4 linked regions of the Elephas maximus indicus genome follow. The protein of the gene in region 4 purifies or fractionates together with the protein of the main gene of each other region. This does not show direct contact. Links are inferred from orthologs where the notes say so. Each region holds a gene or a part of one and is shown on either strand. Other genes may lie near its edges.

Evidence for each region.
Region 1: the proteins of ESR2 (region 4) and COPG2 purify together in Homo sapiens (affinity purification with mass spectrometry; 3 studies listed by BioGRID and IntAct, with this or other methods). This does not show direct contact. The link is inferred for Elephas maximus indicus from reciprocal best matches to the Homo sapiens genes ESR2 and COPG2.
Region 2: the proteins of ESR2 (region 4) and PRMT5 purify together in Homo sapiens (affinity purification with mass spectrometry; 3 studies listed by BioGRID and IntAct, with this or other methods). This does not show direct contact. The link is inferred for Elephas maximus indicus from reciprocal best matches to the Homo sapiens genes ESR2 and PRMT5.
Region 3: the proteins of ESR2 (region 4) and SURF6 purify together in Homo sapiens (affinity purification with mass spectrometry; 3 studies listed by BioGRID and IntAct, with this or other methods). This does not show direct contact. The link is inferred for Elephas maximus indicus from reciprocal best matches to the Homo sapiens genes ESR2 and SURF6.

Annotation. Positions count from the first base shown.
Region 1 is NC_064826.1:19,142,163-19,149,189, forward strand, and holds the start of COPG2 (coatomer subunit gamma-2), read left to right. Parts: upstream 1-4,020; 5' UTR 4,021-4,078; coding exon 4,079-4,154; intron 4,155-5,284; coding exon 5,285-5,337; intron 5,338-5,894; coding exon 5,895-5,975; intron 5,976-7,027. Other genes in the region: TSGA13 (testis-specific gene 13 protein), read left to right, coding at 1-9, 525-652, 3,532-3,701. UniProt on the Homo sapiens protein: The coatomer is a cytosolic protein complex that binds to dilysine motifs and reversibly associates with Golgi non-clathrin-coated vesicles, which further mediate biosynthetic protein transport from the ER, via the Golgi up to the trans Golgi network.
Region 2 is NC_064828.1:34,276,192-34,283,444, forward strand, and holds the start of PRMT5 (protein arginine N-methyltransferase 5), read right to left. Parts: upstream 3,004-7,253; 5' UTR 2,887-3,003; coding exon 2,777-2,886; intron 2,161-2,776; coding exon 2,042-2,160; intron 1,739-2,041; coding exon 1,653-1,738; intron 1,478-1,652; coding exon 1,343-1,477; intron 873-1,342; coding exon 760-872; intron 614-759; coding exon 564-613; intron 1-563. UniProt on the Homo sapiens protein: Arginine methyltransferase that can both catalyze the formation of omega-N monomethylarginine (MMA) and symmetrical dimethylarginine (sDMA), with a preference for the formation of MMA.
Region 3 is NC_064827.1:5,223,375-5,231,353, reverse strand, and holds the start of SURF6 (surfeit locus protein 6), read right to left. Parts: upstream 3,010-7,979; 5' UTR 2,946-3,009; exon of another isoform or gene 2,805-2,945; 5' UTR 2,734-2,804; coding exon 2,640-2,733; intron 1,128-2,639; coding exon 927-1,127; intron 608-926; coding exon 516-607; intron 1-515. UniProt on the Homo sapiens protein: Binds to both DNA and RNA in vitro, with a stronger binding capacity for RNA. May represent a nucleolar constitutive protein involved in ribosomal biosynthesis or assembly.
Region 4 is NC_064828.1:76,639,155-76,646,461, forward strand, and holds the start of ESR2 (estrogen receptor beta), read right to left. Parts: upstream 3,021-7,307; 5' UTR 2,176-3,020; intron 1-2,175. Other genes in the region: coiled-coil domain-containing protein 170-like, read right to left, coding at 7,067-7,231.

The sequences.
Region 1 (7,027 bases), on a different chromosome or scaffold from region 4:
ATGGTTCAGGTGAAGCTCTGGCTCTTCTTGTACTCCCTGTCTTTCCTATTTTTCCTCATTCATTGTACTGTCTCTTTTCAATACAATTTGACAAACTCTTTTTGATTGCACGTTGTATGTACAACTGCATAAGACACAGCTACCTTACATGACCCCCAATCTCATTTATACTGTGATGAAAGAGAGACAGTAATGAAGGCAGAGCATGTTCAGAGCTATGGTTAACAACAATATGTCATGAGAACACAAAGATAACGAGATTTTATTTGAAACTAAATGATAGAGCAGCCTATATCTAGCTTGGAGAGGAGAGGGGAGATTCTGGAGTTCTCCAGAGGTTTTACAGTAGAAGGTTTTAGAAGCATCCCTTGCCACTGAACAATACTCCCACCCAGTCCCAATCAACACCCTTTAATCATTGTCCCTTCTTCTCTCAGAGTCTCTGAGAATGTAGTTTACTGTCAAATGACTGGTTTCTTTAACCCCCTGCCCTAGGGTCTACTAAGTGAGCTTTCTTTGTTAAGGTTTTCCACTGACAATGATTTCAAGAGTGAAGGGGAGTATTCAAAGGTCTATGCCTTGAGGAAACAGAAAAAAATGTACCCTCAGCTTGCCTTTTCTCCAATCGGTAAAAGAGATATGAGGAAAGACGGTAAGCTCCTTTCTTTCAAAGCAATGGTTTATTGGACTGAGATATCGGCTGGAGGTAGAACCTCTGGGGACTGGAGATATGGGCAAATCAGTATTTCTCATGGTGGTCCTAAAGAATATTTTTCCTTGTAGCATAGAAGCTAGGAACTGATCAAGGTGCTAGGTTTTGGTCCCTGCTTATAGCCTTACATGTCAAGAAAGCTCTAGAACAGTATTCCCAAATACCACCACCTACCACTTTAATAGTTTTTGCCATGTCAGTTTAGTATTTTTCTCTTAAAAGATTTTTTTCACTCTTGTCTTAATCAATACTATATCTTTGACATCATGGGTTTGATATACTAATTATATATTTTTCTGATACACATTAAATCAAACTCATAACAATTAAATTTTAAAATGTGTATTTAGGTAGCAGCTAAAACCATCCACGGTATGCATAACACACTTTGGGGAAAACTGGTCTAGAAGGGCCAAAGGATAAGCAAATCTCAGAAGTCCTCAAGTCTCTTTGGGGTTGGGGTAGGGCATTGGACAGAAGGGGCTTGGGATAAGGCTGCATCGAAGAGGGTGCAATGAGAATGCTCTTCATATTTGTGGGGTGCCTACTTAACGTTGAACACTTACCAAGCACCGATAATAGCACTTTAAATACGTGAGACAGATGAACCCGACCATGAAGTCCTTTTATAGTAAATAAATAAGAACTTGGGTTTTATCCAGTAGGCTATTGGGACCTATATTAGGTCACTGAACACACATTTGTATATTATAAATATAATTAATGAGTTCCCAGACTTCACCAGCTGATGGCTTCAAGATAAAGTCCATTCCTCCTACTAGGTTTCTCTCCTCAAGCGATTTTTGAGGCTTCCTAAGAGCTCAGCTGCTAACCAAAAGGTTGGGAATTCGACTCCACCAGCCACTCATTGGAAACCATATGAGGCGGTTCTAATCTGTCCTATAGGGTCACTATGAGTCAGAATTGACTTGACAGCCATGGTTTTGGTTTTTGGTTTTATTAAGGTCTATTTAGGAGGCCTGATAGTGCAGTGATTAAGTGTTTGGCTGCTAACCAGAAAGGTTGGCAGTTCAAGTCCACCAGCAACAGATTTTTTTTTTTTTTTAAGGTAAGTTTACTGTTTTACAGTTATCCTAGTGATTGATTACCTAACACCTTTGCCAACCATCTTCAGGGCAACAGTCCCAGAGGTCCCAGGTTACACCATACCATCCCTTAACTGGTTTCTTCAGGCCTCTCTGCTCCTAGTTACCAACCCACCCCACCTTACCCACTGCCTGTCTTAACTCCCATATATACAGCTAAAGCAAAGCTGTAGTGGTAAACAAAACTTCATGGGTGTGGAGGAAAGCTAAAGGACAGCAGAGAGAGTTATATTGCTTTAAAAGAGGCTACTTACTCTCAGCTTAGCCTCAAACCCAGCCTCAGTTCCTCTAAGCTTCCCAGTGGGCCTCTAGTACGTTACTTGTTCTTGGGAATCTCCTGGCCTATCTACCTGTTTCTGCCAAGGCTCCTAATACCCTTGGCCCAAGAAAAGGAAGAGGTTCTCCTTCCTTCCCCCAAACCTGTTTCGTTTCAGTCCCAGTAAAAATGACAATGAGACCATCTATTTCCTGCAAGGGAAATTCTTCCTGGGAAGTATGGTTTGAACTTTATAAGCCAGATAAGGCAAACGTAATAGTTGAGAATCCATTTAGTAAAGTTAGAGTTAAATCTTAAATGATACCATATGTAAGGATATCAACAGTGCAGCTTAAATTCATATTTAAAGGCAGAATTTCTCTAATTTTGCAAGGGCATGGTCCTTGTTCAGGATACACCCAATTTACATTTCTAAACAGAATGCTTAATATCTTGATCTGCAGCATCTATTAGAGTTATGACTTCATATTTTCCATCAAGACAAATGAGTGGATACTTGTTTTACTTATGTGAAGTTGAATCAGTGTCTCCACTCGTGGCAAAAGAGAAGGCTAGCAGTCTCCCTCCCCGCAGTAGTGTTCCATGTTTACCAGGCATCCAAAGAAATAAAGATCATAGAGAATGGTTTGAGGCAGGGCCAGGAAGGCGGCTGTCCAAGAAACAGCTGATGAAGACTTGAGCTAAGGAGTCAGCAGTAGAGATAAGGAACAGATTCAAGGGTCATCTACCAGGTATACCCAGAAACCACACCAGCTGTTGTTGAGTCAATTCTGACTCCACGTGTGTCCTAGTAGAACTGTGCTCCACAGGGTTTTCAATGGCTGATTTTTTGGAAGTAGATCGCCAGGTCTTTCTTCCAAGACACTTCTGCATAGACTGGAACCTGCAACCTTTGGGTTGGCAGTTGAGCGCTAAAGCGCTTGCACCACCCAGGGAGGTTTTACAAGGTATAATGCATCAAAAAAGTGGGGAGGGATTGAAGGAAGAAGATCCCACAATGGAAGCTTGAAAGAACAGAACAGAGATTGAAGGAGAATCTGGATAAAATGTTTTAACTGAAGCCAAAAGTAGAAAAAGTTTCTTACTTACACTGTCTGACAAAGAACCGACAACAAACGGGTTAGAAAAAGACTGAGAAACATGAATATACACGTGCGTGCAAGTTAGCCTAAAGAGTTATGTAAGAGTGTGGTTGAAGATGGAAAAACTCAGAAGAGGTGGATTAAATGAGGGGACTGTAAACCAGCGGTGTGTTTTAAACTGGTTTTTGAAGAAGCGACGAAAACGTTTGACAACGAAGGCTGGAAGGGTAGTCCGCGGTCCACAATCTACCCTCTTGGTTAAAGTAAAGACCAGCTTTCTGGTCGGTCACGCTTTGCATTAAGCGCCCTTGTAGAATCCACATTCACCTCAAGGTGCCCTGTGCTTTGTTGCAGCTTCCAAGAAGTCAGCGAGTGCAGTGCCGACTTCCCAGGCGATCTGGGAACCACTCACCCTGTCATCGCTCCTGGAAGAGAAGCCCACCAGAACTGTGCCGGGGGAGAGCGCGTTCCGCAACGGAAGAGCCCAGCAGTGGATCATAAATAACGCCACTCTCATTAAGTGAACACAAACCCTCCAGGCCCCCCTCCCGCCTCGGTCTCCAGACAGGGGTCTGCAGACGTCGCCATCTGCGGCGTGCCATCCAAATAAAATCACATTCCTGCTTGCTCCAGGCGTGGGCTGCCGGGTCGCTGGCCAAGTGGGCAGGAGAGCCCCTCGCTCCGACCTGTCACCGCCCAGGCCCCGCCCCGCCCATGGCCCCGCCCACGCCCGGCTGAGGGCGAAGAGAGGGCGTGGCTGCGGCCCTCCCCGGGCGAGAGCGACGGCCCGCGGCCGGGGGCGGGCCTTCTCCCGGAGTGACGGGCCGGCCGCCCAACCGGCGGGAGCGCTCGGGGCCTGCCTTCCTGCAGCCTCTTCCGCTTGCCGGCTGCTGCGTCTGGGATGGTTGCGGTGGGTCTGGGCGCTGGGAAGTGGGCCAAGATGTTTAAAAAATTCGACAAGAAGGACGAGGAGTCTGGTACGCGCTGGGCCGCTCACGCACACCCTTGGCTGTGGGGACCCCTTTTTGCGCCGCCCTCATGTGCTCCGGGCACGGCGGCCCCGGGGGCGTGGGCACCGGGGGCGTGGGCACCGGTGTGCGCGCGACCCCTCCCCTCGCTCCCGCCGGGGAGCGAGCTTCCCCTGGCCCCTCCCCCAGCGGCCCCGCCTGCGCCCCTTCCTGGCGGCCCCGCCCGCGCCCCGCCCCTGCGCCCCGCCCCCCAGCGGCCCCCCGCCCCCCAGCGGCCCCCCCGCCCCCCAGCGGCCCCCCTCTCCGGCTTAGCCCCTCCGAGCCCCTCCTGGTGGGGCCGTCAGGAGTGGAGGCGGGCTCACGACAGGTGGAAGGAGTGCGTGCGCATGTATGAGAGGCGGGGGTGCTGGGGGTGCTGGGCCCCTAGTGGGAGCACCCTCTTTTGGGCCTGGGGTCGACGGGAACAGCATGTGTGTCCGTGTCCAAAGTTGAGGTGCCTTCTACCTTACAGTCTTTCTTGGGACCTGCCTGCCCCATGGAACATAAGTCAGTGCTCTAGCATGCAGAAGTGACTTTCGTCTTGTTGCCCATCTTTAATCCAGTGGAAAGGGCGAAGAGGCCAAGCCACCTCCACATTCTCAGCTGCCCTCACAAAGCATGGGAGAGGGTGGGGTCCGTTCACCTCCATGGGCCCTTCCCGCTTTTAAGTTGCTATGGTTCTGTGCTGAATTCTTCGTTTCTGCCTCTCAGTACGTGTTATAAGCAAATAAAAAATAGTGCTCGCCTTTAGAGAAATTAGAGTGCCCCACCATCATCTCATTCATTTTAATTGCAGTGGAAATGGCAGATAGTCATAATATTCTTGTACAAAGAGGGCAAGCAAAGAAGACATTCTCATTTCAGGCAGGGTTCCAGCCAAAGAGAAGTCCGAGATCTTCCAGGATAGCAACGACAGAGATAGTGCCAGAATGAAAATACTTTCATTCCATTTACATGCATATTAGTAATGATTATCACTGTGATATCCAAGTGGTCACCTCACTTTAGTGAGATTTCCCAAGCATTCAGTGCCCTTCTGGTGGAAGTAAATACGCTTATGCAGAACAGCTATTACAGATGTCTTTTGTTTTATCATATAGGGAGTGGCTCCAACCCTTTTCAGCATCTGGAGAAGAGTGCTGTCTTACAGGAGGTATGGCTTGCAAGTACATCGTGCTCCTTTCTTTTCTATTTTGTTTTAGAATGGCGGGCAGAGAACCCCTGGGATGCTACAATTGGGGCATCCAAAATGAGACATGAATGTAACTGAGTTCAGAGAATGTAGACTTGAGAGGAAAGGAAGAGGGGTTACTTGCCATGGGAGAGTTTAGAGCTTTTAGAAATGTAAAGACACACAGACTCTGCTACATGCTGGGAATTTTAAATGTCAGAAGACGTGTTTGGTGTGAGGTTATTGAAGGAAGTTATAGATATTAAGCTCCCTGTGTTTATATGATGCAGTAAATATTGTGATTTGTGGTAAATATTGTGATTCTTATTTACCAGATAAAGTTCAGAAAGTTGAAGTATTAGATTTAATGGAATGGGTTGCAAAGTACAGAATGGAAGATCAAGGCTACGTCTAATAATTTCTTGTATTCTATGATACATTGAAGACTAATGTTTTTGGATATTGTGATTAAAAGTTGGTTTGCTGTCATCTGTGATAGAAAATGTAGAAAATATACTATATTTTTTTTTTTTTTATAGGCTCGTATATTCAATGAAACTCCCATCAATCCAAGAAGATGTTTGCATATTCTTACCAAGATTCTTTACTTACTGAACCAGGTAAATTATTTTTAGTTTTTCTCAGGTTTGTGTCCTGGAGTAGAAATACATAGCATGGAGTGAAGTACTTTCTGGAAAGTACTTATCTATTTCTCTAAAATATTTAACATAATAACATGTAAAACTTCTTGAGGACAGGAATTATAACATATAGTTATTTTGTGTTCATGAGATACTAAACCAGCTGACCACATGGTAGATTCTCAATAAATACCTATTGATTTGAGTTTAACAACAACAGCAACAGCAAAAAACCAAACCCGTTCCTGTCGAGTCAATTCTGACTCATAGCAACCCTATAGGACAGAGTAGAACTACCTCATGGGGTTTTTAAGGTTGTAATCTTTACAGAAGCAGACTATCACATCTTTCTCCCATGGAGTGGCTTGTGGATTCAACCTGCCAGCCTTTCAGCTAGCAGCTAAATGCTTAACCAGTATGCCACTTTGAGTTTAACAGGTACTAGTTAATGTTAGTATAAATGTTTACATTCGTTCAGAGATCTTTATATCTCTCCAAAAATACAATGCAAAATCTCAGGCAAATTCCAGGTAGATATTTTACCTTTCTTGGGGAAGGCGGGCAAACCCTGGAGGCACAGTGGTTAAGAGCTATGGCTGCTAACCAAGAGGTCGGCCATTCGAAGCCACCAGGCACTCCTTGGAAACCCTATGGGGCAGTTCTATTGTGTCCTACAGGGTCGCTGTGAGTCAGAATCGACACTATGGCAATGGGTTTTGGGAAGGTGGACGGGTAGGATAGATCATCAAAACAAAACAAAACAAACCCATTGACATCGATGACAATGGGTTTGATTTATTTACTTATTTTTTGTATGTATATACACCCCCCCCCCCCGTTTCCATTTGGTGCTGAGTAAGAAGACTGGTTTCCAATTTGAATTCCATGTGAATATTTTATCATTACTCTGTTTCTTGACTGAGAACCTTATCCATAGATTTAATAGTTTTTGTTGTTTGCAAATGGAGGTTGAGCAGTAAGCACACACTTTTTAAATAAAATGTATCTGTTCACTAACATTTTAGTCTGTA
Region 2 (7,253 bases), about 42 Mb from region 4:
AGCAGGAGAGCAGTGGGATGCAGACCACAAATTCTCATAAAAAGACCAGACTTAATGGTCTGACTTAGACTAGAATGACCCTGGAGGTCATGGTCCCCAGAACTTCTGTTAGCCCAAGACAGGAACCATACCCAAAGCCAACTTTTCAGACAGGGATTAGATTAGACTACGGGATAGACAATGATACTGGTGAAAAATGAGCTTCTTGGATCAAGTAGACACATAAGACTATGCTGGCATCTCCTGTCCAAAGGGGAGATGAGAGGGTAGAGGGGGTCAGAAGCTGGCCAAATGGACATGAAAAGAGAGTGGAGGGAAGGAGAGTGCTGTCTCATTAGGGGAAGAGAAATTAGGAGTATATAGCAAGGCGTTTATAAATTTTTCTGTAAGTCTGACTTGATTTGTAAACTATCACTTAAAGCATTAAAGCACAATAAAACTTACAAAAAAAAAAAGTAGGAAAACTGCCCAGCAGCCAAGTACACATGACACTTTAAACTCCCGATTCCTATTCATAGAGGGTCAGAGAAGGGATACCTACCCTAGGAACCTCATGGACTTACCCACTGCAATCCTCTTGCTGTAGTCACACAAAGTCCGAAAGTTGTGCCACCTGTTCAGGGCAAATACAGCAACATACAGTCAAATGCACAGAACCTACCCATCACCAAGTTCAAAGGAGAGACTTCCCTAAAGGTTCCACCTGTACTTCCCCTCACTCTACCCTTTAACTTACAGAAGCACCAAAAGGAGACATACCACATCCATGTCTTCTCCTCCCCACTATACTCCTCTGTGTGTGTGGTTGGTGCATTCTCGATGATATCATCCCGCAGGTCCTCTGGTGCCACCAATGGGACCCGCATCCAGAACTGTACATGACAGGTACCTTATTTAGAACTCACTGTGTCCAGAAAGTTTCCCCCCCGTCAAAAGATCTTGATCCAGACCTCAAGTAAATACCTTTATATGCTTTTCCCAATCTGTGATTAGGTACATGTACATAAGGTCACTGTACTTAAAGTCACTATACATAGGGTCACCATGAGTCAGAACCAACTCGACAGCACCTAACAACATGTACAAAAGGACATGTATCCTGTGTTTGTCCTTATGGAAATGTCTGCCTTTCCTTTATCTCAACTCTAAGTTTCTAGACATAAAGTATTATATACTGCATACGTCTTATATCTCTCTGCATACCACTTTTATTTCGGAGATAGGCAATACTGACGTTTTAATTCTGCCATGTGCACCTTCCACTGAATGGCTAGGCATAAAAAGACACTTACAGCAGCAGACTACCGTATTATACAGTAGGAAAGGAGCCCCTCAGCCGTACCATAGAAGAGTGGTGGCCAGTGTGGATGTGGTTGGTCAAAACTCTGGCCAGGTTAGTGTTATCCTCCTGATTGAGGGGCAGCAGGAAAGCTGGAAGACCCAGATATGCCCCAAAATTCAGCTCCTGTAACATAGCCTAGACACAGAGATCAAGAGGAAAAGGTGAAGAGCTAGCAACCCAAATAGCTTTAACTCTGTTGTATCAGACACCTGATTCACCAAGTTATGAGAGGAAAAACTGCTCTCCCCACCCAGCTCAGTTTCAGATCTAATCCTTAGAAAGATCCAGTGGAGAGGTGAAACACCCTTACCGCCTCTGAGTTCCTGCGGATCTTCTCCACTTTTGAGTCTGGATGAATCCATGGAGAAAGCTTTCCGACAATTAGTGTATTCCAGTCTGCAAGTCCCAGCCAAGAAAGACAAAGACAGAATAAGGTTCAGCACTTTATTCTTGCTAAATTTCTTTCTTAGCAGGATACAGAGTAAGAGACAAGGACTTTTTCTATCACAGACATAGAATAGTTTGATCCAGAATAGGGAACTAAGACTTTTAGCAAGTAAGCACGGAGAAAATAAGATTATCTGTATCACAGGAACTAATCAACACTCCCAAATCAGGAAAGGAAGAGAATGAGGACCCTGATAAAGTAGAAGTTGTTACTGCCTCTGATAATTAAGGGGTATACGGGATGGTCCCTACCCCTTCCTGATAGCAGTAGGTCAGATCGTGTCTGGGGACCAGGCCGATTCTTAGCAGGTTCCTGAGTGAACTCCCTCTTGAAACGCGGGTGGAAGACAGGCATGCAGAGGAAATCAAACCTATAACCACGACAGACCCAGAGTCATCATGTAAAGAGAACAGCAATGCCCAGAGAGGTCCAAGCCAACTGGATTTAGACTACCTCAGTTTGCACCGAGCCCTTTCAGTTGCCATCAGTCACCCCACTGGGCTGCTGAGTTCAGCCCACGTTGGAGCATATCAATTCCGCTGCACTGTGCCTCAATACCAGTATGCCACGCAAAAAAAGAAAGACTCAAAAACAGCCGTGGACCAGACGAGTAAGAAGAGGTGAAAATTCATTCCAAGGAGAATACTTTCTACTCTGCTGTCACTGGCCTTCCAGGATTAAATCTGCCCCAATACTGCCCATGCCTCCCCTTTCTTTTTTCCTTTCTTGCTCCCTAATACTTTCACTCCTAGACAAGAACCTCGACTTCACTGCCTCTTTTTGGGTTTATTCAACAATTCCCCCGACTTTTGGCTCAGTGACCGCACACCCCAAAAGTTTCTCTTCCCTCGCTCCTGGAGTCGAGAGCTCTCCCGCCTACATCCTACCCTTTTCGATCCCCTCACCCCTGCCTCTCAGGGATGACTAATCTGCCCCTCTCGGTTCGCGAGTTCGGACCCCGGGTTCCGTTCGGTCTGGGTCCTCACCCCTGTTTGGCCACAGCCCCCAACGTATCAGCTATTTCGGGGACACAATTCAGGTCCCTTCCGCTGGACACGCGGCTCCCACCGGCACCCCCGACCGCCATCGCCGCCATCTTTCCCCTCGCGTTGTCCACGCCGGGGTTCCTTAATACTAGCAACCAATCAAAAACCCTATAAAAAGCCCCCAGAAGGCGGGACGAGTCGCCTTAACAACCAGAGCGTCTTCTACAGCTCGCGTACAGGAGACAGAGGGGTGGGGGCTCTTCCCGCCAATCCTCGGGCTTCACTGTGACGTGTGGCGTGGCTCCCAAAGATCTACCAACCGCAGGGTCTGGTACGTGACGCGCTTTAAGTTCCCATAATGCTTTATGCCTTTGCAGACTTCGTCAAGAGACTACACGTCCCGTGAAACCCTGCAGTATAAGCTTGAAGTGTCATCAGTGAGAAGGGCCACCTTGTCTCAGGGCCAGTGGCGCAATGGATAACGCGTCTGACTACGGATCAGAAGATTCCAGGTTCGACTCCTGGCTGGCTCGGTGGGACGGGCGTTCCCTTATTACACCCTAATGCAGTAATTGGTGTAAGGCTCGTGTTTCTGTGTTTTCTCGTTATCTTTTCACACCCTGATTTCAGGTCGTAATTTGATTAAGTTCTACCGCCAGTTTTTCCCCGTTACGCCTTCAAAGGTGGTTCTTGTGTCCACCTGTACACTGAGAAAACTGAATTAATATAGTTGGAGCTCTTAAATTGGGATCTGTCCCTGTTCGTTGCATGTTACATTTTTAAATAGACAATGATCACTCTGCCACTAATTCCTTGTGATTCTGTCTCAAACACAAAAGCTAAATAAACACACCCCTGAAGATCAGAGAAAAAGAATTCATGATGCGAGATTACAGTAGAGGGGAGCCATGGAGCTGCCTGGCGAGGATCGAAAGAAACTATGTACTTTCCAATGTCAACAGCTGCTATAGGGACAGAGAAGAAGGAAAGGAATCAGGCAAAGAAAGGAATAGGAAAGGGAACACCTGAAAGCTGGCGGCCCAACCGTATTGAAGGCCCTACCTCTGGGGTGGAGGGAGGGGAGGTGGATAGAGAGAACACAGCACAAGAGGCCCTAAGCAGGAAGCATTGACAGAACTGAGGGACCGACTGGCAGGGGACTGTGAGAATGGGAAGTCTGGGGTGATGCCCAGGGCTCTGGCCTCTCAGTGAGACAAGAAATGAGCGGTGCAAATTTAAGGGGAAATTAAGGTTTGGACGTGCTGAATTGAACGTCTAGAGGGCGCTGTGTAATAGAGAGTTGGATGAACAGTGATGTGAACCGGACAAGATTTGGAAATCACCAGAAGACAGGTAGTGACTGAAGTCATAACAGTGAATGAGATCACCATGGCCTGTGGGTGACAGAGCCCTGAGAACATGGAAAGGGTGTATATAAGATAATTTCTCCTCTGAGGAACCCTGGATTTAATGTAAGTGCCTTAAAAAGAGGAAAACCCAAAAGCCAGAGATCTAAGGAAATGCCCCACCGGGTCTGAGGGTTTGGAAATACTGTTGTCCCATCCTAAGTCTTTATTTGATACGTGCAGGTTTGTTTTATTATTATTAATCAATTTTTTATAACAGTTTTAGATTTGCAGAAAAATTGAACAGATAGTGCAGAATTCTCATATAGCCCTGCTTCCCCACCCCAACACCACACACCACTTTTAACTTCTATTAGTATGATACATTTGTTATAATTAATGAACCAATATTGATATATTATTATTAATTAAAGTTCATACTTTATTCAGAATGTCCTTTGTTCTAGGATCCCATCCAGGATATATTACTTTTAGTCATCATATCTCTTAAGGCTTCTTTTGGCTGTGACAGTTTCTCAGATTTTCCTTGTTTTTGGTGACTTTGATAGTTTTGAGGAGGACTGGTCAGCTGTATCCTAGAATGCCTCTCTATTGGAATTTGTCTGATGTTTTTCCCACGATTAGACTGAGGTTATGGGTTTTGGGGAGGAAGATCACAGAAGTGCCATTTTTATCACATCGTATCAAGGGTACATACTACCAACATGATTATGACCGTTGATATTGACCTTGATGACCTGACTGAAGCAGTGTTTATCAGGTTTCTCCACTGTAGATCTATTCCTTTTCTTCCTTTCTGTGGAAGGAAGTTACTATGCAGTGTACTTAAGGAGTGAGGAGTTATGCTCCCCTCCTTTAGGGTGGAACATCTACAGTAGATTGTTGTCCACAGGAAGTGGGTGAGGGTTCTGCAGACATCCTAAGGGATAGAAAAAGAGGTGTGGAAGCCTGCTTATTCTGTGCCCCAGCTGTGCCCAGCCAAACTCTGCATTCACAGAAGACTTATTAGATGTTGTTTTTCCTTCAGAAGCTAATTATCTGAGTTGTGGACCATCTGTGCTCCTGGCATCCCACTCCTGACGTCAAGCTGGTGGCTGCTCTTTTGATTGTTAACTAACCCATCTCTGGGTAAGAAAGAGTGAGGAAAAATCTATGAAGCAGTAATGTCAGTTTGGCCATCAGTTAAAATAATTTTCAAAATGATTCATGTAAAAAAAGCCTGGACTTTCTGACTGACCTTCAAGTTCAGTTTGTTGTTAGAAATTTCATTTGTCTGTGTTGTCTTTGTTTTTCCAGTCAGGACGGCCTCAGCTGTGTGGCAAGCATGATGCTGAGCGGTTCCCCATAATTCCATACCACATTGCTCTCCACTATCCTACAGCTCTGGTCTGTGCCATAAAAAAGCAGCATGTAACTGTGGGTCTATCTATAGGAACTTAGAGGAGCAAAAAGGGAAGGACTGAAAAAGAAATAGAGAACCTTCTACAGGACTTGGCCATAGGCAAAAAGTTGAAGTTGGTGACATCTATCACTCTCTGCTTCGCTCTCCGTGCTGAACTCTTGCATTCAGAAGCGTGTGTATAAAACTATGGGATGTAGGCTTTTGCTGGGATGGAAGTAGGGAGATGGTAGAACAGAAAGGAAAATACCCTGGGTGAGAAATACTGTTACTTTCTCAAATAGGAGTAAGTGACCAACAGGCTACCAGCTGAAAAGTGGAGACTCTTCTGGAAGGGAAGGAGTACTCATTCCCGGATAATCCTCCCCACCAGGCCTTTGGTAGCGCAGTTAAATGTTCGACTGCTAACAGAAAGATTGGCAGTTGGAACCTATCCAGCGGTGCCTCAGAAGGCAGTCCTGCCCATCTGCTTCTGAAAGGTCACAGCCTTGAAAAGCCTATGGAGCAGTTCTACTCTGCACACATGGGGTCATGGAGTCGCCATGTGTCAGAATTGACTTGAGCCAACCAGGCCCTCCAGCAGTCCCACTGTCAGGCCCAGTCCTACTTGATCCTGGTTTTTGTCCTTGTTTAAACACCTCCCACCCATTGTAAACCCTCCTTTCATCTTCTTTTGTGCTCCCCTCCTCTCTTAGCTCTTTCCTCCCTCCCCAGATCCATCCTTACTCACCTCTGTGCTGGCCCAGCCAGCCGCACTATTCAAAACGGAAATGATGGCCCGTTTGACCCTCTTACTTGCTCCAAATTGCTTCTTCACAACGAAGGCTGTCCTCTAGCTACAAAAGTGGCAGAGTTACTGAGGCAAAATAATCTATGCCAATTTGCATTCTCTTCCTTGTCATCTCTATTATACAGTATTTATCTGTCAAAATGAAAGTAGAAACTGTTCTGCAAAATAAAAAAAGATAGAAAACTACCCAATTTATTTATGAAGCCAGAATAAACCTAATACAAAGACCTGTCAGAAGTAGCACCAAAATATAAAGCAAACAAAAAACTACAGACCAATCTCACTTATGAATATAAATATAAAATTCCAAAAATATTTAAGATTAACAAATAAAATTCAACAATGTATGAACATAATAATTATATACCACAACCAGTTAGAGTTTATCCCAGGGATTAACATAAGTTTAGGTATTAGAGAATTTATTTATATAATAGGTCAATAAGAAACCAAGAAAAACATTTGATTTTTTTCAATAATTACCAAAGAGAACATGGTAAGTCAATTTTCATTTTCTATAAATGTTTTTAATAGTCTTAATATTCTTCGTATATAAATATGTGTATATATATGATATATAAAGTCAACAACTTATATAAAGATGAAATAAAACAAGAATATCTGGTTTCATCACTGAGTTATTTAATATTGTTCTGAAAAATCCAATATAGTAAGACTTGAAAAAAGGAGTCATAACTTTTGGAAAGGAAGAGGCAAATTTATCATTGTTTGCAGATGATATGATTGTATACCTAGAAAATCCATGAGAATCAATTTTTAAATGATGAAAATTCATAACAAATTCAGAGAAGTCACTAGATACAAGACAAATATAAAATAAATCTGTACTCTTCTTATCTACTAGGAATAACCATTTAGAAGACATAATTAACAAAGATATCCCCCATAACAAGATTGTTA
Region 3 (7,979 bases), on a different chromosome or scaffold from region 4:
ATCCCAGGAGGGCGAGGAGAGAAGCTGGGGGACTGTCCCCCACACAGCGAGGCAGCACCGCCTGCAAGAGAGCTGTGGCTGGCTCAGTCCTCGTGTCACCTCGGGTGGCCACCTATCTCAGGCCCACTGTGACACGTTGGTGACAGACCAACAAGTGCCCAGCCCAGTGAGGGTGCCCAGCCTAGTGAGAGCATCCAGCAAAGGCAGCTTCCCAGGAAGAAGGGGGCAGGCTTCTCACTAAGGCCATGGAGGAGAGGGGCAGTGGCATCAGAACGTCCAGCAGAAGGCGACTTTGGGGACTGAAGTTTCCCAAGAGGATAAGAACTACCTCTGACCTCTCCCAAAACAGACCCGAGACCCCTGGCAGGAGCCACTGCAGGAGGAAAGCAGTGGCCGAGGCCCCTCCTGCCAGCCCACAGCCTTCCTGCCATGCTGGTCAGGCCCACAGAAGGCAGGGAGGTGTCTCCTCCTCCAGGCAGGGTAGGGGCGCCCCAGGGGAGTCTCCCCTCACCTACCTGGCCCCGGGCCTCCTGTATCTTCTCATGCAGCCGCTGCCGAAGCACATCGAGGGCAAAGAAAGAGTCAGGGTCTGTGGTCCAGCGTTCTGCTAAGGGAGCAGATGCGAGGGCTGAAAAAAGACTAGCTCCCCAATCCTTCCCTGAGTTTCTAGTCACACACCCCCTAGTGACCACTCACAGATCTGCAGGAGCAGTTCCAGTCAATTCTATGACCCCTGTGGCATTCTCCAGGGCCGGTCACTGTGGTATGACAAAGTGCTTCCTCTGGTGGACGCCAAACCCAATCCCTGCATCAGAGCCCACAGTCTGCTCTCACGACACCCCTTCCAAGACTTGAGGGCAGTGATGTTGCTCCTCAGAAGGGACCATGTTTGCACATGCTGGACCTGGGGTCCCGGAGCCTCTCACCTGCAGGGGCCACGGTGGAGCTGGAGGCCTCCTCCTCTTCTGTTGCCACTGGCTTCTTGGCCCCAGAAGCTGCTGGAGACTTCTGCAGGGACTTGGCCTTGTGCTCCACAGCCTTCTCTTTCTGCTCCCAGAATTTCTTCTGCATTTTCTTCCTTTTCTTTTTTGAAGGCCCGGCAGCTTTTGTGTCTTGAGTTTGACCAGCTGAAATACAAAATGCATGAGGGCTGCCGTCCCAATCTCTGTGACCCGCTCAGGAGGCAGGAAGGTCTTGTGAACAAAGCCAACACAGAGCACCAGGACAGAGAATCCAGAGACATGTACCCACAGAGCACAGAACTATGGATCTTCCAGAAGGCAGGATGGCTGCTCACAGCAAAAACCTTAAAGACATGCGTACCCCTGGCCTAGCAGTTCTGTTTGTGAGAACTCACCATGGCATGAGCAAAGGTGTGGCTTCAAGGATATTCATCGTGACAGTGCTTGAATGAAAGACTGAAAAAACCTAAATCCTCACCGACACCAAAAAAATAACCCATTGCCAAAGAGTCGATTCTGACACGTAACACTCTATAGGACAGAGTAGAACTGCCCCATAGGGTTTCCAAGGAGCAGCTGGTGGATTTGAACAGCTGACCTTTTGGTCAGCAGCTATAGCTCTTACCCACTGTACCACCAGAGCTCCGGGACAAATTACGCTACTGCTACACAACAAACTACTACACAAAACCAAACAAACCAAACCCAGTGCCGTCGAGTTGATTCCTACTCATAGCGACTCTATAGAACAGAGTAGAACTGCCCCGTAGAGTTTCCAAGGAGCTCCTGGTGGATTCGAACTGCCGACCTTTTGGTTAGCAGCCGTAGCTCTTAACCACTATGCCACCAGAGTTTCCAGAACCATCAAAAACAATGGAGTAGTCTTTCACTTCTTGTCTGGAAAGATGTTTACATTTTAAACAGAAAAAGATGAATACACAGAGTAGGACCAAACTGTTAATAACAGAAACTTACACTAAGAAAAAACTCTAGAAAAACACAGATCGAAATTATAACTGAAACATAAAAAACAGACTACTGTTTTCTAATTCTTTGTAATGAATCATACTCCTTGCACAAACATGAAAGTAAAGTTGAAAAAAACAAGCAAACAACAACAAAAAAAAACGATTCTCTGGGACCCCAGGTCTTTAAAGCCCGGCCCCTTTAGCTTTTTCCGGAGTAACCCTATACCCCCTGGCCTGTAAGCCGACCCTGGCAGGAACCCCGTTTTCTTTCTTCTCCCCACACAGCACCAGTGTGAGGTGTTTTGTTTTTTTTTTAATTGGTTCATCATCACTCGTAACTGTCTTCCCACCCAAAACGGAAAGCTGGCTAAACTGGTTCACGGAGCCAACCACAGAGAAGCCATTCTACAGGGGTCACCTCTGCGAACCCCGGCAACGCTTCCCGCGCGATGGGCGAGCGGAGCTGAGCCCCTCGTTTCGGGCAGGCGCCCCTAACAAGCAAGGGGAACGGCAGAGCCGTGAACACCGCTTACATTTCCTGCCGGTGTTTCGCTGATTTGTCGCACGCGTTCGTCTGTCTAACCACGTGAAAGCCACCTGGGTGTGCTAAACGGCGACCTCGGCCGCGAGCGCGCGGCTCCGGAAGCTCCCCTTGCGAAGCCCCCCAACCCCAATGTCGCCAAGGCACGCGCCCGGGACCGCGCCTCACCCCGCTTGCGCTTCTGCGGCTCCGCGCTGGGCTGGGCGCAGATTTTCCTGGCCAGGTTCTGCAGGTAGGCGTCTTTGGCGAGCAGAGACGCCATGGCTGGAGGCTCGGGGGGCCGGGGCCGGGGCCGGGGCCGGGCAGCAGGGCGGGCGGCGCTCGCTCGGGCTCCTGCTCGGGCAGACAGGGGTGCTGAGGAGCGGAGGCCAGGGCACCTCGTCCTCCCCGACGGCCAGAGGGCAGAGGCCGAGACCTGGGTGCGGGGCCCCGGCCTGTCCCCGCCGCACACACCGACCCCGCGGCGACCCTCACCTCCGCCGGGCCGCAACCGGAAACCGCCGCGTGGGCAGGCGCCGCCAGCCGACCGCCGAGACGCCATCCGCGGCGCTCGATTAGCCAGGCCTGGCCCCGCCCGGAAGAGGGGAAAGAGGGCGGGAGGGCGCAAAGCATTGTGGGCTGTGGGCGGGCGCTCTTCGAGGCTGTCGCGACGCCCATGCAGCCTCTGCCCCGAGGAGGGGGTGGTGTTGGTGCCCCCCGAGTCCCGACCTTTGTGCCCCGTGTCCCTCGGCTCTGCACGTACCTTCGCGCACTTTTCCCAGCTCCGAGCACAGGGCCCCGTCCATAGGCGCACAGTTAGTAGGACTGAATGAACGAATAAATGGGCAGTAAGTTAAGCTCTTCGGGGCCTGAGATCCCAAATGGAAGCGGACAAAACCGCGTTTATTCAAAAAAGAATTGACCGCCAAGCGTGTGCCAGCCCCAGTTCCAAGCCCACGGGCTGCAGCAGGGAAAAAACACAGAAATCTGCGTCCTTTTCAAGCTTATGTTTTAGTGGCATCGACTGAAACACATGAAGTGCCCGATGGTGGGAGGCGGAGCCCTGGTGGTGCAGCGGTTAAGAGCTCGGCTGCTGACCAAAAGGTCTGCAGTTCGAAACCACCAGTCGCTCGTTGGAAACTCTAGGGCAGTTCTACTCAGTCCTATAGGGTCGATAAGAGTCGCAATCAACCCGATGGCAATGGGTTTTGATGGTAGGGAGGGCTAAGGAGAAAAGGGAGAGGAAGGGACAGACGGGAGGTGTTGGGAGGGAGGGAGCTGGGCGCTCAGGGAAGACCCGGAGGGAAGGTGATTTTTGTTGTGGAAAATACACTTGGTTCTTTATAAGAACTCACCAAGGGAGGAAGGGGAGTGTTCACTAGGGGACGCTGGGGACCACCACACTCCAGCTCCTTAACAGGACAGTTACAGGCTTTTGTTACATAACCCAGGAGCCCCCTCAGTGGAAGGGAGCTCAGAAGGGAGGAGCCTGTGATGTTCCACTGGCGGTCACCATTACAACTTCAACAGGCTATATGAGAAGGCTGCTAATAAGAAACATTGAGAATTAACTTTTCTCCATGGGTCAGAATCGACTCGATGGCAAGGGGTTTGGGTTTTTGTTTTTTCTTTTTTTTGGTCCCCATCCCCTACCATGAGGTGATGTGTTATGCGGAGGCTGGTTTCATCATCGTCTTCTTTCTACTGTAGTTTAAATCCAGTTTAATCTCTACCTACAGAAGACAGTCTTCAGTATGAATTACACCTCAACATAAAGAAAACAAGAATTCTCACAACTAGACCAAAAGCAACATCAGGGTAAACGGAGAAAAGATTGAAGTTGTCAAGGATTTCATTTTACTTGGATCCACAATCGACATCCTTGGAAGCAGCAGTCGAGAAATCAAAAGACACATGGCACTGGGCAAGTGTGCTGCACAAGACTCCTTTAAAGCGTTGAAGAGCAAAGATGCCACCTTGAAGACTAAGGTGTGCCTGACCCAAGCCTTGGTGTTTTCAATCATCTCATATGCATGTGAAAGCTGGACAATGAATAAGGAAGACCAAAGAAGAGTTGACGCCTTTGAATTGTGGTGTTGGCGAAGAATGTTGAGTATTCCAGGGACTGCCAAAAGAACAAATAAATCTGTCTTGGAAGAGGTACAACCAGATGCTTCTTAGAAGCAAGGATGGTGAGACTGTTTCTCACATACTTTGGACACATTATCAGGAGGGATCAGTCCCTGGAGAAGGGCACCCATGCTTGGTAGGGGGGCCAGCAAAAAAGAGGAAGACCATCAACAAGATGGATTGATACAGTGGCTGCAACAATGGGCTCAAGCATAAGGATTATGAGGTTGGCACAGGACCAGGGGGTGTTTCATTCTGACTTGACAGCACCTAACAACGACAACAACTACACAGAACAATCATTAAGTTGCAGACATGTCCTTCCAGGCACTGTCATTTAAACCATCAAAGCAAGAGACCGAAGGGATAGGGACAGGGCAAAGGACGACAGGGATGCTGGGTCCTCCGGCACCGGGTTCTCAGTTCATGTGGATGTCAGCTTATTTGTCCTGCATTCTCCATTTCCAGGTAGGTCTTTGAGGCTTCACTGAGGTCCTCACTCCACGGGCAGTGGTAGATGCCACCAGAGGTGCCACAGGGCAGGGAGAGAAAACCCAGAGGTCCTCTGGTTGGTGAGTCCGGAGTGCAGATCTTGTTTGTGAGCCTACCTAATTTTAGTTACCTGTGAGAAGTTGAATAAAATCTGGCCCTGTTTACAAACTTGACAATTAAAGATACAACTATGAAGATACTACCACTACCATGGCTTGGAGTTGATTCCCACTCGACTCGTAGCGACCCTATAGGACAGCGTAGATTGCGCCATGGGGTTTCCAAGGCTGTAATCTTTACAGAAGCAGATTGCCACATCTTTCTCCTGCTGAGGAGCTGGTGGGTTTGAATCACCTACCTTTCGGTTAGCAGCTGAGCGCCTAACCACTGCACCACCAGGGCTCCCATTAAATTTTGTTTCCGTGACTTTGATTTGCCATCATAAAATTCAACAGTAAAAATCTTTTTTTTTTCTTTTTGTGTGCTTTAGGTGAAAGTTTACAGCTGTCTCACAGAAAAATTTATACACATATTGTTTTGTGACATTAGTTGCAATCAGCACACTCTCCCTTTCTGCTCTGGGTTCCCTTGTTCATTCGACCAGTTCCTGTCCCTTCCTGCCTTCTTATCCTGCTTCCAGACAGAAGCCGCCCATTTGGTCTCATATATCTGATTGAACTCAGAAGCACACTCCTCGCGTGTATTATTTATTTATTATTTTTTTTTTTTAATAACTTTTATTAAGCTTCAAGTGAACGTTTACAAATCCAATCAGTCTGTCACATATAAGTTTACATACATCTCACTCCCTACTCCCACTTGCTCTCCCCCTCTTGAGTCAGCCCTTTCAGTCTCTCCTTTCTTGACAATTTTGCCGGCTTCCCTCTCTATCCTCCCATCCCCCTCCAGACAAGAGTTGCCAACACAATCTCAAGTGTCCACCTGATATAATTAGCTCACTCTTCATCAGCGTCTCTCTCCCACCCGCTGACCAGTCCCTTTCATTTCTGATGAGTTGTCTTCGGGGATGGTTCCTGTCCTGTGTCAACTGAAGGTCTGGGGAGCATGGCCGCCGGGATTCTTCCAGTCTCAGTCAGACCATTAAGTTTGGTCTTTTTATGAGAATTTGGGGTCTGTATCCCACTGATCTCCTGCTCCCTCAGGGGTCCTCTGCTGTGCTCCCTGTCAGGGCAGTCATCGATTGTGGCCGGGCACCAACTAGTTCTTCTGGTCTCAGGATGATGTAGGTCTCTGGTTCATGTGGCCCTTTCTGTCTCTTGGGCTCTTAGTTGTCGTGTGGCCTTGGTGTTCTTCCTTTTCCTTTGCCCCAGGTGGGTTGAGACCAATTGCTGCATCTCAGATGGCCGCTTGTTAGCATTTAAGACCCCAGACGCCACATTTCAAAGTGGGATGCAGAATGATTTCATAATAGAATTATTTTGCCAATTGACTTAGAAGTCCCCGCAAACCATGTTCCCCAGACCCCCGCGCTTGCTCCGCTGACCTCTGAAGCATTCATTTTATCCCGGAAACTTCTTTGCTTTTGGTCCAGTCCAATTGAGCTGACCTTCCATGTATTGAGTGTTGTCTTTCGCTTCACCTAAAGCAGTTCTTGTCTACTGATTAATCAATAAAAAACCCTCTCCCACCCTCCCTCCCTCCCCCCCTCGTAACCACAAAAGTATGTGTTCTTCTCAGGTTTACTGTTACTCAAGGTCTTATAATAGTGGTCTTACACAATACTTGTCCTTTTGCCTCTGACTCATTTCGCTCAGCATAATGCCTTCCAGGTTCCTCCAAGTTATGAAATGTTTCAGAGATTCGTCACTGTTCTTTATCGATGCGTAGTATTCCATTGTGTGAATATACCACAATTTATTTACCCATTCATCCGTTGATGGACACCTTGGTTGCTTCCAACTTTTTGCTATTGTAAACAGAGCTGCAATAAACATGGGTGTGCATATATCTGTTTGTATGAAGGCTCTTGTATCTCTAGGGTATATTCCTAGGAGTGGGATTTCTGGGTTGTATGGTAGTTCTATTTCTAACTGTTTAAGATAACGCCAGATAGATTTCCAAAGTGGTTGTACCATTTGACATTCCCACCAGCAGTGTATGAGAGTTCCAATCTCTCCGCAGCCTCTCCAACATTTATTATTTTGTGTTTTTTGGATTAATGCCAGCCTTGCTGGTGTGAGATGGAATCTCATCGTAGTTTTAATTTGCATTTCTCTAATGGCTAATGATCGAGCGCATTTTCTCATGTATCTGTTGGCTGCCTGAATATCTTCTTTAGTGAAATGTGTGTTCATATCCTCTGCCCACTTCTTGATTGGGTTGTTTGTCTTTTTGTGGTTGAGTTTTGACAGAATCATGTAGATTTTAGAGATCAGGCGCTGGTCGGAGATGTCATAGCTGAAAATTCTTTCCCAGTCTGTAGGTGGTCTTTTTACTCTTTTGGAGAAGTCTTTAGATGAGCATAGGTGTTTGATTTTTAGGAGCTCCCAGTTATCGGGTTTCTCTTCATCATTTTTGGTAATGTTTTGTATTCTGTTTATACCTTGTATTAGGGCTCCTAGGGTTGTCCCAATTTTTTCTTCCATGATCTTTATCGTTTTAGTCTTTATGTTTAGGTCTTTGATCCACTTGGAGTTAGTTTTTGTGCATGGTGTGAGGTATGGGTCCTGTTTCATTTTTTTGCAAATGGATATCCAGTTATGCCAGCACCATTTGTTAAAAAGGCTATCTTTTCCCCAGTTAATTGACACTGGTCCTTTGTCCAATATCAGCTGCTCATACGTGGATGGATCTGTGTCTGGGTTCTCAATTCTGTTCCATTGGTCTATGTGTCTGTTGTTGTACCAATACCAGGCTGTTTTGACTACTGTGGCTGTATAATAGGTT
Region 4 (7,307 bases):
ATACTTGTACCTAACATGATACAACAAATACACATGCAACCAAAAATGCGCTAGCCCTGTTTACATCTTATTTTATAAGTGAAAAAGAAAACAAAAATATTTGCTGCACACATACAAAGCAAAAATGCTCATAACAACTACAGTCCTCATTTCTGCAACTGGTCACACGGTCATAACTGGTATTTAGAACTATCTTCTTCCACCACCCATTGTGTATTCCCTTTGCCATCACCAAGCACCTCAGCTGGTTGTGGTTCTTTTCCTGGTGGGGTGACCCAAGCCTTTATTCCTGAAGGATCTGGGGCAGTAGTAGTCATGTTGAAATTGGGCTGCAGTGTTTTTCCATTGATTTTAATCACAGGGCATTGTAGTACTAAGAGACACCCTAAGAGAGCTCCTGCATTCCAGACATACTCTTCTTTACCTCCATTATGTAATATCAATCCGATTTCCTATTGGTAATCAGGATCAATCACACCAGCCAGTATGGTAACTCCCTTCTTTGCCTGTTGATCCAGAGGCATAAGGAGCCCAAAGAGGCCAGGTGGCATTCTTAGCTTCCAGTTCAATGGAACCAGTGATGTGTCTCCAGTTGGAAGTATTCCTCCCTTCCAAAGAACTAAGACCTCTAGAGCCACAGAGCATAAGGTCACAGGGACAAGAAGCAAAAATTTTGCAAGTGGGTCACTAGGGTTAATAGTGAGTGGTGCCACTCCCATTTCTACCTCTTGATTCCTAGACCCATGAATTCTGGCTATGGGAGAAACCGCACCATATACTGGACGCTGATTTAGAACACATACAGCCTCCTGCAATACACTGTCCCAAACCTGCAAGGAACTGCCACCTAGCTGGCACCATAATTGTGTCTTTAGAAGGCCGTTCCATTGTTCTATCAATCCAGCTGCTTCAGGATGATGGGGATGTTATCAGTCCTCCAGGTCTCACTCGGGGCAACACTGAGACATGAGTCAGTTGAAAGTGAAAGAAAGCTTTATTTGGTTGGCCAAATAAAAGAGCACATCAGGACCTGCATCGCCAAGATTGTTTCCTGATCGGCAGGGACAGCAGTTTATATGCGTAGGATAACGGAGTGGGGGCTCTTCTTCAGGTGGTGTTCAGGAATGTGGTCCCTCAGGGTTGGTGGACAACTTCTACGATGATGTTGTTGTCATTGGGTACAGAAAGTCGCACTGGGATTCAGGATTCACGAGATGGCGGCAGCAAAGGGAAAATGGTGACTTAGCTCCTCCCAGCCCCCCGCAACCCGTCAGCGCCATCTCTGTAATATGTTGCCAGGAGGACAAGGTGAGGCTGTCTGTGCATGAATGCGTTGTTCTGTGCCTGCAAGGGCACCTCAGACTGATCCTGTCCAGTATTTGCCCCAGGGAATGTTGTAACTGGTTTGATCTTCCATCCAGACCACTAAAACTTTCTCCATGTCAGCAATGAGGCTGTTTGGCTTTCTTGTCATTCACTTGTTTACTGGAGTAGCACTTTTAATTTCCTTCAAGAGCTTTTCCTTTGCATTCACAACTTGGCTAACTGTTTGGTACAAGAGGCCTAGCTTTCAGCCTATCTTGGCTTTCAACATACCTTCCTCACTAAGCTTAATCATTTCTAGCTTTCGAGTTAAAGTGGGAGATGTGTGACTCTTCCTTTCACTTGAACACTTAAGAGGACATATAATTGGCCTAATTTCAATATTGTCGTGTCTCAGATAATAGGGAGGCCTGAGCAGAGGGAGAGAGACTGGGGAACGGCTGGTCAGAAAAGCAGTCAAAAAAAACACAACATGTATCGATTAAGTTTGCTGTCTTAAATGGGAGCAGTTCATGGTGCCCCAAAACAATCACGTTTGTATCGTCAAAGATCACTGATTACAGATCACCATAATAGATAATACAATAATGAAAAGGTTTGAAATATTGCAAGAATTACCAAAGTGTGACACAGAGACATGAAGTCAGCACATGCTGTTGGAAAAATTGCACTCATAGATTTGCTCGACGCAGGATTGTCACAACCATCAATTTATAAAAAACACAACATCTGCGAAACACAATAAAATGAAGTGTGCCTGTAACTGCCTATTTGTATTAGTGGCTGTATCTAGTCCTGAGTCTTAAATGCTACTGCACAACCACTATCATGTCAAATGATTCAACAACTCACCTGACAACAAGAGAAGGAGACATTAACCGCAGTCCAAGAACAGACTAAGGTCTCCGGGTATTTTTCTGGTTTTGTTCAGCAAAATCTTGACAATTGTGAAAATCTGGATATCACAGATTAACGTCTTCTAGTCTGACATCACCTTGGTTCTCCAGTCATGCTCCCAAGCAAACGCCCGATCTAATTTCTTCTCCAGAGTGGCTGCCTATGGATAGGCTCGCCCTTGTCAGCCAACACACAAAGCACGGAGTGTCTCCAAATCTTGGTGAATGGGCATATAGTTTATGTAAGGCAAGGAGGGTTCCCTGGTGGCACGGTGGTTAAGCACTGGCTGCTAACCCAATGGTCTGTGGTAGAACCCACGACCACTCCCTCCTCTGACAGTCGGCTTCCATAAAGATTACAGCCTTGGAAACCCTAGGAGGCAGTACTTCCCTGTCCTATATGGTCGCTACGAGTTGGAATCGACTACACGGCAAGGGGTTTTACGTAAGGCCGCGATCCGTTCTCCAACCTCGAATCCGATGTGGGGGAATCTGACAAAACCTAGATTTGCAAAGCTGACGACCCTCTCGGAGCACTAGCAATCCCCCCAGCGTTATCGCAGACACAGAGGGACCAGCGCGGCGCTCCTACTCTGACATCCCTCCCAGCTCAGCAGGGCCTAAGGCAGCAGGCTTCAACTCTGGCTGAGACTCAGATTCACCGAGATTTTACGAACACTGTTATGGGCGCCATCCCACACCCTCCCAACAGAATCGGGGTGAGGACCCTGACACCAGCTTCACAGCGCCGGTGTGTACAAAGTCGGCAGCCGCACCACATCTGCAGGCACTTCAGCGCTCCCAGCAAGTTCCGCGCCGGGTAGCTCCGCCTAGACTCTGCCGGGGCAGCCCAGGTCCCTCAGTCTCCTAGCAACGCGCCACCTACCGGCCCGGAGGGCTAGGGAAGGGCCTCCCGCGCGGGCGATATCGTTCTCCCGCGACATCGCCCCGCCTCTGGTCCCTGATTGGCTAGAATCGCACCAGGAGTTTCCTCCTACTCCTTCAGATGTCCCCCGCCGCATCCAAAGACTCATCTGGAACGTTCTTTCCATCAGCCAATCATTTCCTCCAGCCAGTAATCAGCGAATGATTCCTTCACTGTCTCCCACCCCTAGCACGGTCCAGAATTGTCTCTCAGTTAAAAAAAAAAAAAAAAAAAATTTTTTTTTTTAAGTGGCCCCTGGAGGCCTGGTGGCGCAATGGTTAAGTGATAGGACTGCTAACCAAGAGGTAAAGGTAAGCAGTTCAAATTCACCTGCCGGTCCTTGGAAACCCTACAGGGCAGTTCTATCCTGTCCTCTAGGGTCGCTGTGGGTCGGAGTCGCCTCCAAAGCAACGAGTTTGGGTTTTCTTTTTTTCTTTTTTTGGTTAAGTGGCCTCTAGTCGGCCTCTCCGCAGTGCTGCGCAAGCGCAGCCACTTTGCGGGATGCTGGCGCAGTAGCGCGGACTCCCTGGCCGCTGGCTAAGCATGTGGCTTCGCATGTCCTGCTGTCTGCTGAGGGAATCATACCACCCTAGATGAGACCACTTTGGGAATCTTCAAAGGGAAGATAATCTCTGCGTAAGCTGCTGCACTTGTTGCTAGGGTGCGTTGAGCCACAGGCGAGTGGTCTGAGCGGCATGTGCAGACCCTAATGGTCCCTCTGTCCGGAAGGGGGTATCTTCAGGGGAAAGGTGAATTGGAGGGTGGAGACGAAGGTAGATCTCAGCCTGTCACACCTTGCAGCCGAGGAAAGGGGCCCCAGGCAGAATTAGCGTTTGCAGGTGAGCCGCCTGGTGGCTGTGCCCGCTGGCTTCTGTCCTTCTGGGGCAATAAACTCCTTTATCTGACCCAAAAATGTGTCTTCCAGGATAGTTGGGCATGCCTGGAACAGTCAAAACTCAGAAATCCAGGCCACCCTTCCTCTCTGTGTTTGAGATCAGAGAGGGCCAGAGCTTGACTGAGGGTCGCAAGGCTGGTTAGAACCAAGGTCTAGTTTGGCCCCTGAGAAAATTCAGCATGCCAGTGAGTGGGAGATCTGAATGCTTAACTAGTGGCTGGTTGTCAAAATTTATTCTACTGTTGGTCATTTGGGTATTTTCCAGTTTGGGGCAATTATGAATAGTGCTGCCATGAATAATCTTGCAAATGTCTTTTTGTAGACTGTACACATTTCCATCAGGTATGTATGTTGTGTGCCGTTGAGTTGATTCTGACTCATAGCGACCCTAGAGGACAGAGTAGAGCTGCTCTATAGTGTCTCCTAGGCCATAATCTTTAGGGAATTCACCAGGTTTTTTCCTCTCACGGAGCAACTGGAGCAGCTGGTGGATCCGAACCTCCAACCTTTCAGTTAGCAGCAGATCTCTTAACCGTTGTGCCACCAGAGTTCTAAGTGTATATATATATATATATATATATATATATATAACAACAACATACACCTGTTGATGTGGAGTCAATTTCAACTCATAGCAGACCCTATTGGACAGAGTAGAACTGCCCCATAGAGTTTCCAAGGAGCAGCAGGTGGATTTGAACTGCCGAACTTTTGGTTAGCAGCCTTAGCGCTTAACCACTATGCCACCAGGGCTTTGTTACAGCAGCAATAGGAAACTAATATGCTGCCAAAATATTTTCCAAAGTACTTTTATCAATTTATAATTTTTACAATTTACATTTTTTAACTTAGGGAGCATTGGAAAAAAAAAAACATACTTCAGCCCTACACCACATCAAAGTGAACTGGAATCTCAGTAGGCCTGGAAAAAAAACTTTTTTTTTTTTAAGTTCATTAGGTAATTCTAATGCATCTCGAGGCTGAAAACCACTTACCTAAAGTCTTAAATCTAAATCCAGTTCTCATCGTTGAAGAACAGTGTGTCAGTGATCTGTCTAAAAGTACAGAAAGCATTTTCTGGAGAGTGCTGGTCCAGATCATTGAAGGGTCTTTCTCTGCCTCCGCAGTTAACGAACCTTTACATTGTCCTGCGGTTGAAGTACCTACTAACAATTCAAAGGAATAGTAAGACTAAGGTCCCTTTGTGCTTACAGAGTGTTTTCTTTTAATGTGCTCATAAGGTAGCTCTTTCAGAGACTGCTGCAATTTGGCACCTTGACCTTCCTGGAGAGCTTGACTTTGGGAGCTGGGAGCTTGTGCACAGTGCTCGGGAGTCCTCAGAGGGGATGCCCGGGGAGCGACGTGGCCTACCTGGCTTGTGGTATAGCACAGTCCTCCCAGCTCCTTGTGCTAAGGTTGCAGAAGGCAGCTGGGTGGCCCTGGGGGAATCCTGAAGCAGAAGGTACAGTAAAACCTGCAAAAGCCAGAACCTGTGTGAGGTAGAAACCTATCAAAAAGGAATATGCAAGTATTTTCCAACTAATAGCAATAGAAAAGTGGTAAGACTGCACCCTGTCAAAATGGAAAACTTGCAAAACCCAGAAAAACAAGGAGGTCCCGTCAAGCTCCTCCTCTCACAGGTTTTTCACTCTAGTTCTTACAGCTTAGGCAGGTTGGGCTACATTAGGGCTCTGGGCAGCGTGTGCCCACCTTCCTCTTTCGCAAGGCTAAGGACAGTCTTGAAAGGAAATACATGCAGGCTTCTCTCACTTGCAGCCAGGGATCCTGAAGTCTGGGGAAAGTCTTTCATTCCCCACATTTGAAGGTTTTTGTCTTTGGTAGTAATGCATCAACTGCTGTGCCTCCCTAGGGGACAGATTGACAAGTCCTGAGGCCATGGGCCATTCCCATCACAAAGATACATCATTGAAAGGAATGAAGAGTAGTCTAATGTTGAAACAATAAACTACCTGGAGCTAGTAGTTCATGTGGTTTCCTGACACGCACCAAGTGTCACTGTATTTTCCTCTAAAATTTGAAATATTCCATGACATTCCTATGAGATTGCTGCAGCACACCAGGGTGCCTTGTCACACAATTTGGGAACCACAGCTGTGACCATTTAAAAGATGAGTGACTCATTTTTTCCTTGAATGAGTATTCAATCATTTTCTTCCCAAGGTACAGAAGATCCAATGTAACCTGACCTCTTCCACCCTAAGAATCCCTCTAAAACTAAGCGCAGTAGGAGATCCTTTTAAACGCCCACAGCTGGCACTTAGTGCCCATAGCCCTGTGCAGATTCTGACCTTTTCCCGCAGAGGACATCTTAGGTGAATCTAACACTATCCTGGGAGATAAGCAGTTTCCTATTTCAAATGAAATGAATTAAAAATTATACTATTTAAAAATTAGCCCAATTTTTATATGAGAGACTGATTAGATTTGTAAACTTTCACTTACAGCACAATAAAAAAAAAAAAGTAGCCCATTAACTTAGAGATCTGGCCACCATTAGGAAAGCACTGGCAGAGACTATTAAACACTAAGAAAATAAAAATCACACTACAGTGTACTGCAGATTTATAAGAATTCTCAATGACTTTCCTGCCCCTCAACATTTCAGATCTGATTTTCACACTCTCAGGTAATCAAATAATTTCAGAAGCCATAGATCATAACTTTACCTGGCTCCCAAGAGGGATTTCAAACCCAATAAATTATTCATTCTGAAAACAGGCTTAACTATGGATGTAAATATTCCAACTTAAGCACAAGTTCTGCTTAATATCCTACTTAAAATACAGTTAACAAATATAATTAGATAATTATATGTTACAAATAAATTAAAGTAGATCATAATACATAGAACAAAATTATGACAAAAGCTAAACGCAAACAGGAGAACAGATTCAAGTGAAAATTTTCCAGTGCATTTTATTCATAATGTAGCTGCATTCAAGATGCTGAAGGAAACATCCATATCGGGTGAGTTCTTGTTGGCAGCAAGGAAGAGGCAGAACTTCTTTAGTCATTCTCCGGTTCAGCCTCATCATCAGAAGCAGTCCTTGATTTTTTGTTAGATGCTTCATAAGCTTGTAGAATAAACCTGAGCTGATTGATGACTTCTTCATCTGCTGTTTTCATGTGAAATCCCAACATCTTTGTAATGGTTTCTCGAAACTCAGCAAGCTGCAAGAACCAAGACATCATTAGTTTTGCTCACCCACTTGTTACATAAAGTGAAGCTGCTACTAGAAATGTAGTC